Xenopus tropicalis: one gene and its partner. The protein of the gene in region 1 interacts with the protein of each later gene in a pairwise test. Links are inferred from orthologs where the notes say so. Each region holds a gene or a part of one and is shown on either strand. Other genes may lie near its edges.

What was found. The genes of interacting proteins can lie anywhere in the genome.
Region 2: the proteins of ccnk (region 1) and cdk18 interact in binary tests that used the Homo sapiens proteins (3 or more experiments, as listed by UniProt). The two-hybrid records come from large-scale screens. The link is inferred for Xenopus tropicalis from reciprocal best matches to the Homo sapiens genes CCNK and CDK18.

Annotation. Positions count from the first base shown.
Region 1 is NC_030684.2:90,617,468-90,622,808, reverse strand, and holds part of ccnk (cyclin-K), read right to left. Parts: intron 4,838-5,341; 5' UTR 4,804-4,837; coding exon 4,607-4,803; intron 3,913-4,606; coding exon 3,831-3,912; intron 3,162-3,830; coding exon 3,030-3,161; intron 1,914-3,029; coding exon 1,808-1,913; intron 1,715-1,807; coding exon 1,657-1,714; intron 1-1,656. UniProt on the Homo sapiens protein: Regulatory subunit of cyclin-dependent kinases that mediates activation of target kinases.
Region 2 is NC_030678.2:73,259,872-73,265,526, forward strand, and holds the end of cdk18 (cyclin-dependent kinase 18), read left to right. Parts: intron 1-860; coding exon 861-938; intron 939-2,743; coding exon 2,744-2,778; 3' UTR 2,779-4,074; downstream 4,075-5,655. UniProt on the Homo sapiens protein: May play a role in signal transduction cascades in terminally differentiated cells.

The sequences.
Region 1 (5,341 bases):
GGTAGTGCAGCTCATCCAGGATGGCACATCAATGTGAGCTGTGGCAAGAAGGTTTGCTGTGTCTGTCAGCTTAGTGTTCAGAGCATGGAGGCGCTACCAGGAGACAGGCCAGTACATCAGGAGACGTGGAGGAGGCCGTAGAAGGGCAACAACCCAGCAGCCTTTGTGCAAGGAGGAACAGGAGGAGCACTGCCAGAGCCCTGCAAAATTACCTCCAAAGCGTCACAAATGTGCATGTGTCTGCTCAAACGGTCAGAAACAGACTCCATGAGGGTGTTTTAAGGATCCGACGTCCACAGGTGGGGGTTATGCTTACAGCCCAACACCGTGCAGGACGTTTGCATTTGCCAGAGAACACCAACACTGGCAAATTCGCCACTGGCACCCTGTGCTCTTCACAGATGAATGCAGGTTCACACTGAGCACATGTGACAGAGTCTGGAGACGCCTTGGAGAACATTCTGCTGCCTGCAACATCCTCCAGCGTGACTGGTTTGGCAGTGGGTCAGTAATGGTGTGGGGTGGCATTCCTTTGGGGGGCCGCACAGCCCTCCATGTGCTCGCCAAAGTTAACCTGACTATCATTAGGTACCGAGATGAGATCCTCAGACCCCTTGTGAGACCATATGCTGGTGTGGTTGGCCCTGGGTTCCTCCTAATGCAAGACAATGCTAGACCTCATGTGGCTGGAGTGTGTCAGCAGTTCCTGCAAGACAAAGGCATTGATGCTATGGACTGGCCCACCCGTTCCCCAGACCTGAATCCAATTGAGCACATCTGGGACATCATGTCTCGTACAGGAGTTGGTGGATGCTTTAAGTCCAGGTCTGGAAGGAGATCCCTCAGGAGACCATCCGCCACCTCATCAGGAGCATGCCCAGGCATTGTAGGGAGGTAATACAGGCACGTGGAGGCCACACACACTGAGCCTCATTTTCACTTGTTTTAAGGACATTTCATCAAAGTTGGATCAGCCTGTAGTGTTTTTTTCCACTTTAATTTTGAGTGTGACTCCAAATCCAGACATGGGTTGATAAATTTTATTTCCATTGATAATTTTTGTGTGATTTTGTTGTCAGCACATTCAACTATGTAAAGAATGAAGTATTTAATAAGAATATTTAATTCATTCCGATCTAGGATGTCTTATTTTTGTGTTCCCTTTATTTTTTTGAGCAGTGTATATTTAAGTGTAAGCCAACACCATTGGTGATGTTGCCCATATCAACTAATCAGCAATTAGATTTGAATGGTCACCTACAAGATAAAAACAAAAGCAAAGATCTGATTGGTTGCTATGGGCAACATCTCCTGTGGTGTTGGCTTAAACACTAATAAATATACCCCTTAATTACTACACTGTACACAGGGGAATAAAGTCTTGTGTATGACTGTACAAAATACATAGTTTTAGATTCTGTTGCATCATATATTGCTTTTGTATTATTAACAGGTATCACATGAAACTGCATAACCTGGAACCAGAGGGGAAACTGTCAAAACAGGAGTATCCTGGGGATTGTAGGAATCAAGGTTGTAACTTATAGAGAAGCAAGGAGAGTGCATGTACAGCAATGCACTATATAATATAACCTATAGCAAGGTAGTTGGGACTTTAGTACCTTTTTCAAAAGCAATAGATAAACTGTACTTTACCTGTCATTTACAAAAGTCCACGCCATTTGAACCAATTTCTGTATTTTGTTCTTGTCGCCTAAAAAAATTAAATAAATTAGTACAAAAAAATGTTATAAGCAGTAACACAAGGGCTACAATCAAAGCTCTTCTTTTAGGACATACTCCGCACCTTTTAACTGTTTGGCATATCTAAGAAGGAACTGGTAAGGGTGCTCCACCTGGAGGTCAAACTTTATTGTCTGAAGAAGAATTCGCTCAAGGACCATGACTTCCTCCTACAAAGCAGAACAAACCGAGTTATCTGGTATAAGGTAAGAAATACAGTTACTGAAAGATAATGGTTTATTGCTACAAAAGACATGCTGTGGTAATAAAAGGGAAAAGTCTATATAGTAAAAGCAGCAGTATTTATAAAGTCACAACACAATAGCTAAACTGTAACTTGATATTTAAAAGTGTTTTCGATTTAACAGATTCTACAGTGTATTTTGAGAAATGCATACTATTTGTTTAATTTACAAAAGATGTAAAATGAATAGTCAGAACAGTTACCCTTAACATCTTGGCCAGAGCCCCCTAACTTTTATTGGATGTTTTGTGTGTGTATGTTCAATGTACATTTATGGGCTTATTTATCAATTTTTTAAGTTTGTGAATTAGAAATTGTTTTTAACATAATTTTCTTCCTGCATGCTATTACAAGCAGCTGAACTGCAGCTCTTTTACTTACTTTCTTGTCTAGCATGAAGCTCCACCACCTTTTGCATTACAAAGACCTCTAAGAGGTGCCTCTTCTTCAATGAAAATCAATCAGGCATGTGCAGTAGGCAGCTCTTTGAGGTCATGATAGTCAGAGAGAGGAGTGCTCAGAAAACAAAAGGTAGCAGAGCTTCATACTAGACAAGGAAAGACCAAAAAGAGATATAGTTGAACTGGCTGTAATAGAGAAACTAAATTAATCCAGATGCAGCAAGAAAGGTATGTTATTCTGGGGGCTGTACAAGTAGTATTTTTTTTAATAATAAAATAGCTACACATATCCAGACTTGTAACAAGGTTTGAAGTTTCCAAACACTGTAAAAGCAATCTCTAAGAAAACCTGGGTCTGCCTAGTCAGTGATAAATAAATGCACCCCCTTCCTCCCCAATCCCTGTGCCCTTTTACGGATTTTAAGATTATGCAATGATAGCTTGTTAGAACATATGCCAATGTAATGCCCTTGGAGATATGTATAATGTATACAGAGTACTTCTAGGTACCAACCCAAAAGCAGAATTACTGAAAGTTATTTAGGTTAATCAGTAACAATTGAAAAATTCCAATTCACACTTTTACATTAATTTAAATATTACATGGAACTGTATGGTTCACACATTTTTCAGGAGCATACCTTAGGATCATCCCCAAACTGGCCAAATTGTACATCATTTAGTAAGCTACGGGCAGTTTTGATAATATCTTTACATTTCTTAGGTGTTTCTTCAACTTTACCAGCCAGAAAAAGACAGCAAGCTCCAGTCACCTGAAACCAAATGTTAAAAAAGTGATTAATCATGCAGTTTTTTATCATTCAACAACTTGTTACATAAAATTATATAACTTGGCATAATGGGTAACTGGTATAGTTACCCATTATGCCAAGTTATATAAGTTTACTTTAGAACCTAGGCATACCAGTAGGGGACAAGTTGGCTAAACTGGTCAGTATTTCTTAAGAGCTGCGCAGCAAAAAATAAAAGCACGGTATTTGGGGGGGACAAACCGTTAAAGGAGAAGGAGAATACCTAAGACATTCAAAATGCATGACCCTTAGCTAAAACAGACCCTTATGATTCCCCTCCTCCAGGTTACAAGCAAATTAGATGGAGATTCATTCTTTCCTTAGCAAAGGAGCTGGAATGAGAGGGTTTTTCATTACCTTTCAAAAGTTAAAAAAAAAAAAAAAGATTTTGACCTGGGCAAAATAGGGCAGTACTTTGGAAAACTGAATAACATTCTGCAGCAAGTCTCACAGACTAACACTAAACAGAAAATATCAAATTGGAAAAAAATTAAAAGGGCAATGTCATGCATATCTGATTTAGAAACAATCAGTTTAGTAGAGAACATAGAAATTAAATCCACAGTTTGAAGCGAAAACTTTAATCCCATCACTTTTTATACATTTCAACATAATACATATAATACTTACATATCTAGGAAATTGCTTGAAGGAATGAAACATGTAGAACCGGTGAAAATAAATGATTCCAGTTGCAAGGGTATCATAATGTCTATGTTGAAAGTTAAGAATATATACCACCACAATATTATCAAGCCAATGATCTTGCTGGGGTCAGATTGTGTAGGACCAAATTTGCAAATAAAAAAAAACTTTAAAGCACAGGAACCTAATTAAGAAAGAAAGCCAGGAGCATATTACATATAGGAACCTAAATCTGAATTAATTCCACATCTGGGTGTTCCATCCTACAGCTGGATCTCTCACTACTAGTTTATATAAATAAGCTGAAGTGTAAGCATGGGGGCAGCCATTCAAGATGGAAAGGGAAGCAAAAACAAAGGTTATATAGCAGATAACAGATATGCTACGTAGAATACAATGGTATTATACAGAGCTTCTCCATTATCTGCTATGTAAACTGTGCCATTTATCCCTATTTAAATTTGAATGGCTGCCCCCATAGCTACAGAGCAGTTTTGTTTATATGAACTACAGTAGGGTTTCTGAAGTAAATACACAGTCTTTTACCAGTGCAGGGCAACAGTTTACATTTTAATTACTTCGATACATTTTCATTTTTTGTTGTTACTGTTTCTGTACTAAGTCATGGGACATCATTACACATTTAATATTTAGAAGTAAATATTTTACAGGTCATTGATAGATCTTATGTAATATCATTTTACTCTAAATATACTTTAAAAAAATACAGATGAAAAGTGACAAGTTACAGTGAAGGATACAACCCTAGTCGGGTTCCAACATCAAATATGAACCGAGCCCCTTCTCTCCGGTATCTTGCCTCTGTAGCAGGATCAAGCCCCTCCAGCTGTGATGGAGTATGGGCCAGGTCTTTCTTATCCCAATACCAGCATGGCTTTGCATGGTCCAGGCTTGCAGGAGCAGTGGAAGGGCTAGAATTCTCCTTATTCTCTTTCATTGATGCAGTTTTACCTTTGAAACACAGGTTAGATCTGAAAAGAAATATAAACTCATAAGCAAACAAGCTCACAATATTCTGTCTGCGATATGAAATAAAAACCTTTTTGTGTTTAAATGACCTGTAACAACAGGAAATGAATGTATATATAATCAATATACGGCATTGGCCTGCACTCAAAGGTCTTAATAAGCATGACAAAACTGTGGCAAGAAGGGAGGTGAGTGACACTTTTTTTTTTTACTTTGACAAAGGCACTTAATAAAAGTTGTCACGCTTCCTAAGACAGCAAGTATGGACCTATGCCTTATATTGATTAAATTATTATACAACATAGGCTGTACCCAGGCACACTGGATATCTGTTAAACATGAGTGCCGGCAGAGTTACTGTTGATATATTTACAGTATATCAGCAGGAGGATCAGCACACCAATATTACAATTTTAATAAAACAGTTTTATTTTTAATTACCTTTTACAGGGAGAGAGTATCTAATTTGCTACTGCTCTTGTAAGATAGAGACCTTCCTATAGTAT
Region 2 (5,655 bases), on another chromosome or scaffold:
TTTGTAGCTATTAAATATGCACAAGCCCACATGTGATTCAGTTGCCCAGCAGTGGGAAAAAGAAATGTAGTAGCCCAATGTGTGACCAATAAAGGAGTGAAGGGAGGCACTGAGCTGCCATCAGGCAACTTAAAAGTCATATTTACTGCAATGATTTATTCTGCATCATTCTGCTATGAGTTCTAGGGGTATTATATGAAAAATTGCCACTGCTTTCATTATATATTTACAGAGGGTGTATCTGTAAAATGGGGAGTGGTTTATTGGAGCTGTGTCTTCAAAAGTGGGCATGGCCTAAAAGTCTTGCTGCAAAGTGAAATTTTTTACCTCCCTCAATCCCCAGATTTCACTCTTGTGAAATCTTGTGACACTACTATAGTTTCATAGCAAAAAACAAATTCAAAGCTGAGGAGGTGGATGGTTGTTATCATCAAGAGTGCCTAGAGCAGCAAAAACTGTAAATATGCCCCTGCTCCTAATTGGACTTCTGGACTGTTGCTTTGATTGTGCTCTGAATTACAGTAAATAGAATGTGATTTTACTTGCTGTACTTTCTTTAGACTTTGCCCTGTTTAGTGCAAGAACTGATGAAAAATACATGCCTTAGTTAAAATAATTGGAAAAAGCCCTATTCATTGAATTAATATTGAAAAAAATGGTATACTGTTCCTTTAAAAACCAAAACCGGTTAAAGAGAAAGAGAGAGGGCAGAACATGGCTAGCGAAATGGAAAAAGTCTATGTAGGGGCCTATACTTACATTATGCTTAAAATAAATCTAATGGTCTTCTTTCTTATATTTATCACACATCTTCCAGATTTCCAACTCTTATTTGCTCTTCTTTGTATTTTTTTTTCTAGATGCATCAATCTTCACACTTAAAGAAATCCAACTACAAAAAGACCCAGGGCACCGTAGCTCCATTTTTCATCATGCAGGTATCAAATCAAAACTGTGTTAAGTAAAAATTACCAACTGGAGCATAAAGAGAACTTGTGCTTAAAAGTAGCCATTTATTTTATACTGTATATAAAAGCTTTGCCTTGTACCAATACTATCCCCTTCCCTTTAGAGTCCTATTTAAAAAACATTGAGGCAGAAACATTTCAGTGGGTTGTGAAAAAAAGTAATTTCTGAAAAGCTTCCATAAGAGTTAGAACTGTTATAGAAATCCTTTACTTTAGCAAAAAAAGTTCCTTTATTTTTTCTTATATTATTATAAAGTCCTTAAAGGAGAATGCAAGTCAAAATTTAAAAAGCATACTGCCTAATAGTCCTCATATTGTTTAGTAAAAACGCCACACTTTTGGCTCACCTAATCAAATATTTACTCAGTCACACTTAGGGCTCTGGCACACGGGGAGATTAGTCGCCCGCGGCAAAACTCCCTGTTCGCAGGTGACTAATCTCCCCGAGTTGCCTACCCCTGCCATCCCACCGGCGAACATGTAAGTCGCCGGCGGGATTGCAGACGCGGCGGGGCGATTTCAGGAAATTGCCGAAAAAGACTCGCGATTTGCGCGAAATCGCGCCGCCGCTTCTGCCATCCCGCCGGCGACTTACATGTTCGCCGGTGAACAGGGAGTTTTGCCGCGGGCGACTAATCTCCCCGTGTGCCAGAGCCCTAACTTCACATTTTCTACAACAGGCAGCCATCTCTAAAAAGGTATTCTCCCTTCCTTTCCCTCCTTGCTTCATACTGCACATGTGTTTCATTCCCTCCCCCCCCCTCCCCTCTGCCAGATTTGCTTCTTATTGGCTGGTGGGCATGTGTAGTTCAGAACAGGAGACAGGATCAAGTTACACACATGCTAAGAGAATAGGAAGGCTGCCGCTGGCAGCCTACAGGAGGGACAGAGAGATGTCAGTGATGTCACTGTAGTCTTCACACTGCTGTAGGCTGCCAGCACCATATCTCAGAGAAGCAAGCAGGGATCTGGGAATTTAGATATGCAGTAAGTACTTAAAAAGAATGCCTTTAGACTTACTTTTAATTTATTTTAACCTGTTATTGTCCTTTAAAGGGTTTCTGTCACAGGAAAAAAATTACTTTTTTAAAAAATGCATCAGTTAGTAGCCCTCCTTCAGCATAGTCCTGCATTGAAACCCATTATTTACATGGATTTTTAAAGCAAACAGATTTCATATTGAAATTTGGCATGGAGCTAGATATGTTCTTAGTTTCCCTGGTGCCCTCGGCCATATCACTTGTGCTCTGCTAAACTTCCTGACACCTCTAGTGGTAGATATGAGAATAGCACTCAATGGTAAAACACCCAACTCTGCCCATGATTCCTTCAGTTACCTTGAGTAGAAGAAACAATAGCTTATCTAAAAATACAGGATCAGGTACAATGACCTAAGGTGGCTGCCCACAAACCAGTATAACAACTAAAAAAAATACATTTATTGGTTCAAGAACACAATTTTAAATGATAGAGATTAAAATTATTTGAAACGTGCACCTGTAATTTAGTAACAAAACTACACCATAAAAATCATGACCCTTAAATTTTTAATAATAGTCTCAGCTGAAGTGCCTACTTTTTTTTGGTGTTACTGTTCCTTTAAGACTGGTGTGCAGTAGGATAGGATTAATTACATGGAGTTTAAAGCAATGTGGCCAGCTAATACCACTTACCATGGATTTTATTATTTAATGTAATTTACATTTAAATGATAGGCTGGTTAACTCGCGATAAATTATATAAAAGTTGAAATGTAATTATCTTTTTATTTACAGCTCGTGGGAAGGCCAGAAGACAGAGCATATTTTAGAGGTGGCGCTGGATGAACAGAGAGCTCCCTGGAGAACCCTGCGCTTGATCCTTCTTCCCAAGACACTACTGCAGTGATACAGTATACACCTTTGAGTATTAGCTAGAACTTGCCCTGCTGCAGTGAGTCTTGTGCCAAATGTAATTAACTGGGTGTAGATGGTCATGTTCAGGGACCAAAGGAGAGTTAAGAGATGAGTTTCTTCTCTTCCAAACCCCACTAAAGCCTTATTTTAATTATATAGATCAAAAAAAGACAGAGTGAAATTACTCAGGGTGGAAATGGTGGTTCATGGTTGGTCCTTTTTGAACAGCAAAAACATTTCTGGGACTTCTAACACTGGATTCACACCACTGAATTCTGTGCTCTCACATTCCACAGATCAAAAATAGTATTAAAATGAACAGCAACACTCCTTCCTTTTTTCACCACAGATCTAAGCCAAGGAGATGGTGGTGTCTTCCGCTCTTAAAATATTTTCTTATTGTATCCTTTTATACCTAAAGATGCATTCCAAATTATATTAACCATATGGTGGAAACAAATAAGGCTGGTGCCTCAAATATATTTTTACAGTTTTATCATTACACAGAAAGGCATACAGGAAGCATGAAAGTAACATAGTGCAGATTCCAGGTGCCATGTTGTGACACAGTGCCACATATCCCATGTAAATTGGTGATAACCTGGGATACTGGGCTATATAGGGATAGCAGCATTTACATGTTTTAACAATTGTTTTTAAATGTGAAAAATAGAAAGATATTGTCTAGCAAATATTTTTCACAAAATGGGAAATGCACACCAACCATCCCACCAAACTTTGCTCTGTGAGGCCTTTATAGTAAAAACATTTTGTGTGTTTGATTCTCTGGTAAGATTGGTACCATGTGAGGTGGGATGATGCTTAAAGTTTTCATATTGCACTATAAGACTTAAAGGTCAGCCCTTGCCATGCATATTGTCCTTGCCACTGAACATTGTGAGCCTGCTGAATTCAGTAACAAAATATGTGACTAATGGTATGCCATTTATTAATTTTATAATGGCATTCATCATACACTGATTGATCAAACCATAACAAAAGGTTACATAGCCACCAAGCCATTATGATTGGTTCCAGATTTGAAACATGAGCTAAAGGTTAAAGTAAAATCTGATGACAGTGAACTTGTTCCACCTACATGTATGTATAACATTATTTATAAAGCTTGACATGGAAATGTAGTGCTGTAAAACAATTACACACAGGTTTGACAAGTATTATAATAAATAAAATAAACAAGTATAAATTTACAGAGAGGTGTTGTGTGATAAGAGACACAGTAGGAAGGAAATCCCTGCCTTGTGATACTACTTTGTTGTAGTAAAGCATATCTAGCATGTTATGAGTAATTCATGTAGAATATTATGTACATCCACATGCCCTAACACTTTACTGTTGGGATTTTTATTATCTGCACATCAGCAGGCTTAAGATTGCTTGAGCCTTGGGGCTAAGGCAATCATATAAAGGATATGCCTTGTGGGTGCCTTTACTTACATGGGGCTTCCTTTATGATTGCTTGAGCCAAAAGACTCAAGCAATCAAAAATCTTCCCCCCATGTATACCACTAATTTTGAATTATTTGTGGAGTTTGAAAAATTATAATATCTAAACTGCACCAAGGCTCTTAGAAGTAAGAAACTATTTTGTAATGATTTAAGGACTCAATTACTATTTGCAGCACAGGATGCAAACTAAAAAAAAACAGAGGGAAAGCCACTTTGCACCCTATCCTGCTGTCTGCACCCAAAGGGTCACTACAAAACTCGGGTTCAGGGTGTAAAGGAGCCCTGTCAGATTTTAAGCCAGTGTGAGGTACAAAGCCCAGGTATGCCCTGGACACACATCTTTTCTGAATGAGCATTAAGGTGCCCCTTGTGCTTTAGCATTTTAGTATTCAAAGCATTAACAATGAGGCCCTTAATTTCATGGCACATTTAACAATTCTGCTCTAAATGTATCTGGAAACAGGGTAAGTCAAATGCTAGGCCCTCTGAGGATTATGTCACATTGGGTGTTTAAGTCAGTTATGTGTCCCTGTAGTAGCAACAAAATGAATCCCTTCAAGTCACTACTCCTTGAAAGTACAGAACAATGTAGCATTTAAAGGTCAACCAAATGTTAAATCACTGGGGATGTACCAATTTGTTGGGCATCCCAACTGACTGAAACTACCAACCATGTGCCCTGGGATGGTGTGCCTCTTCTGTAAATGCACCAGCACAAGCTATTTTGTTTTCACCTTATCTTTAAAATAAGATATAAAACATTACCATGTGGCTCTTTAACTGGCCTGCATTCTGTAGCTTTGTTGCACCTTTTTGATCTTCTCATCTGTTCCTGTATCATGAGAAGAATTTAGCAAAGAGGCACCTGGGTATCTTTATAATATCATCCTGCAAGTTTTCAGTTTGATTTTTCCAAGCAGAAATAGGAATCATATTCCGTACATACAAGTTGCTTATATAACTACTTTATCTACTTTGAAGAAAACATTTCATAAATAACTTCAAATTAAGTTAGAAAATAGTTAATAGAATTTGGGTGCTACAAAGGAGAATGCCTTCTAACACCTAGTGATATGCATTACTTCACCTAAAAATACTGTAGCTGCATTTCTCAAACAAGAAGTCTTTTCCTATTTGTTGTAAAATAATGAACATGTGTATTTTGTATACTGTACATTATAAACAACTTGTATGTTTGCTCTAGTTTTCCTTTAAGATGCAGTGAATTTCAAAATCATTCATGTATGAGTGAACGAAAAGGATTACGCTTCCACAATGTAATAACCTATGCCACTTTCTGTGCCTGACCGATGGAACTGCTG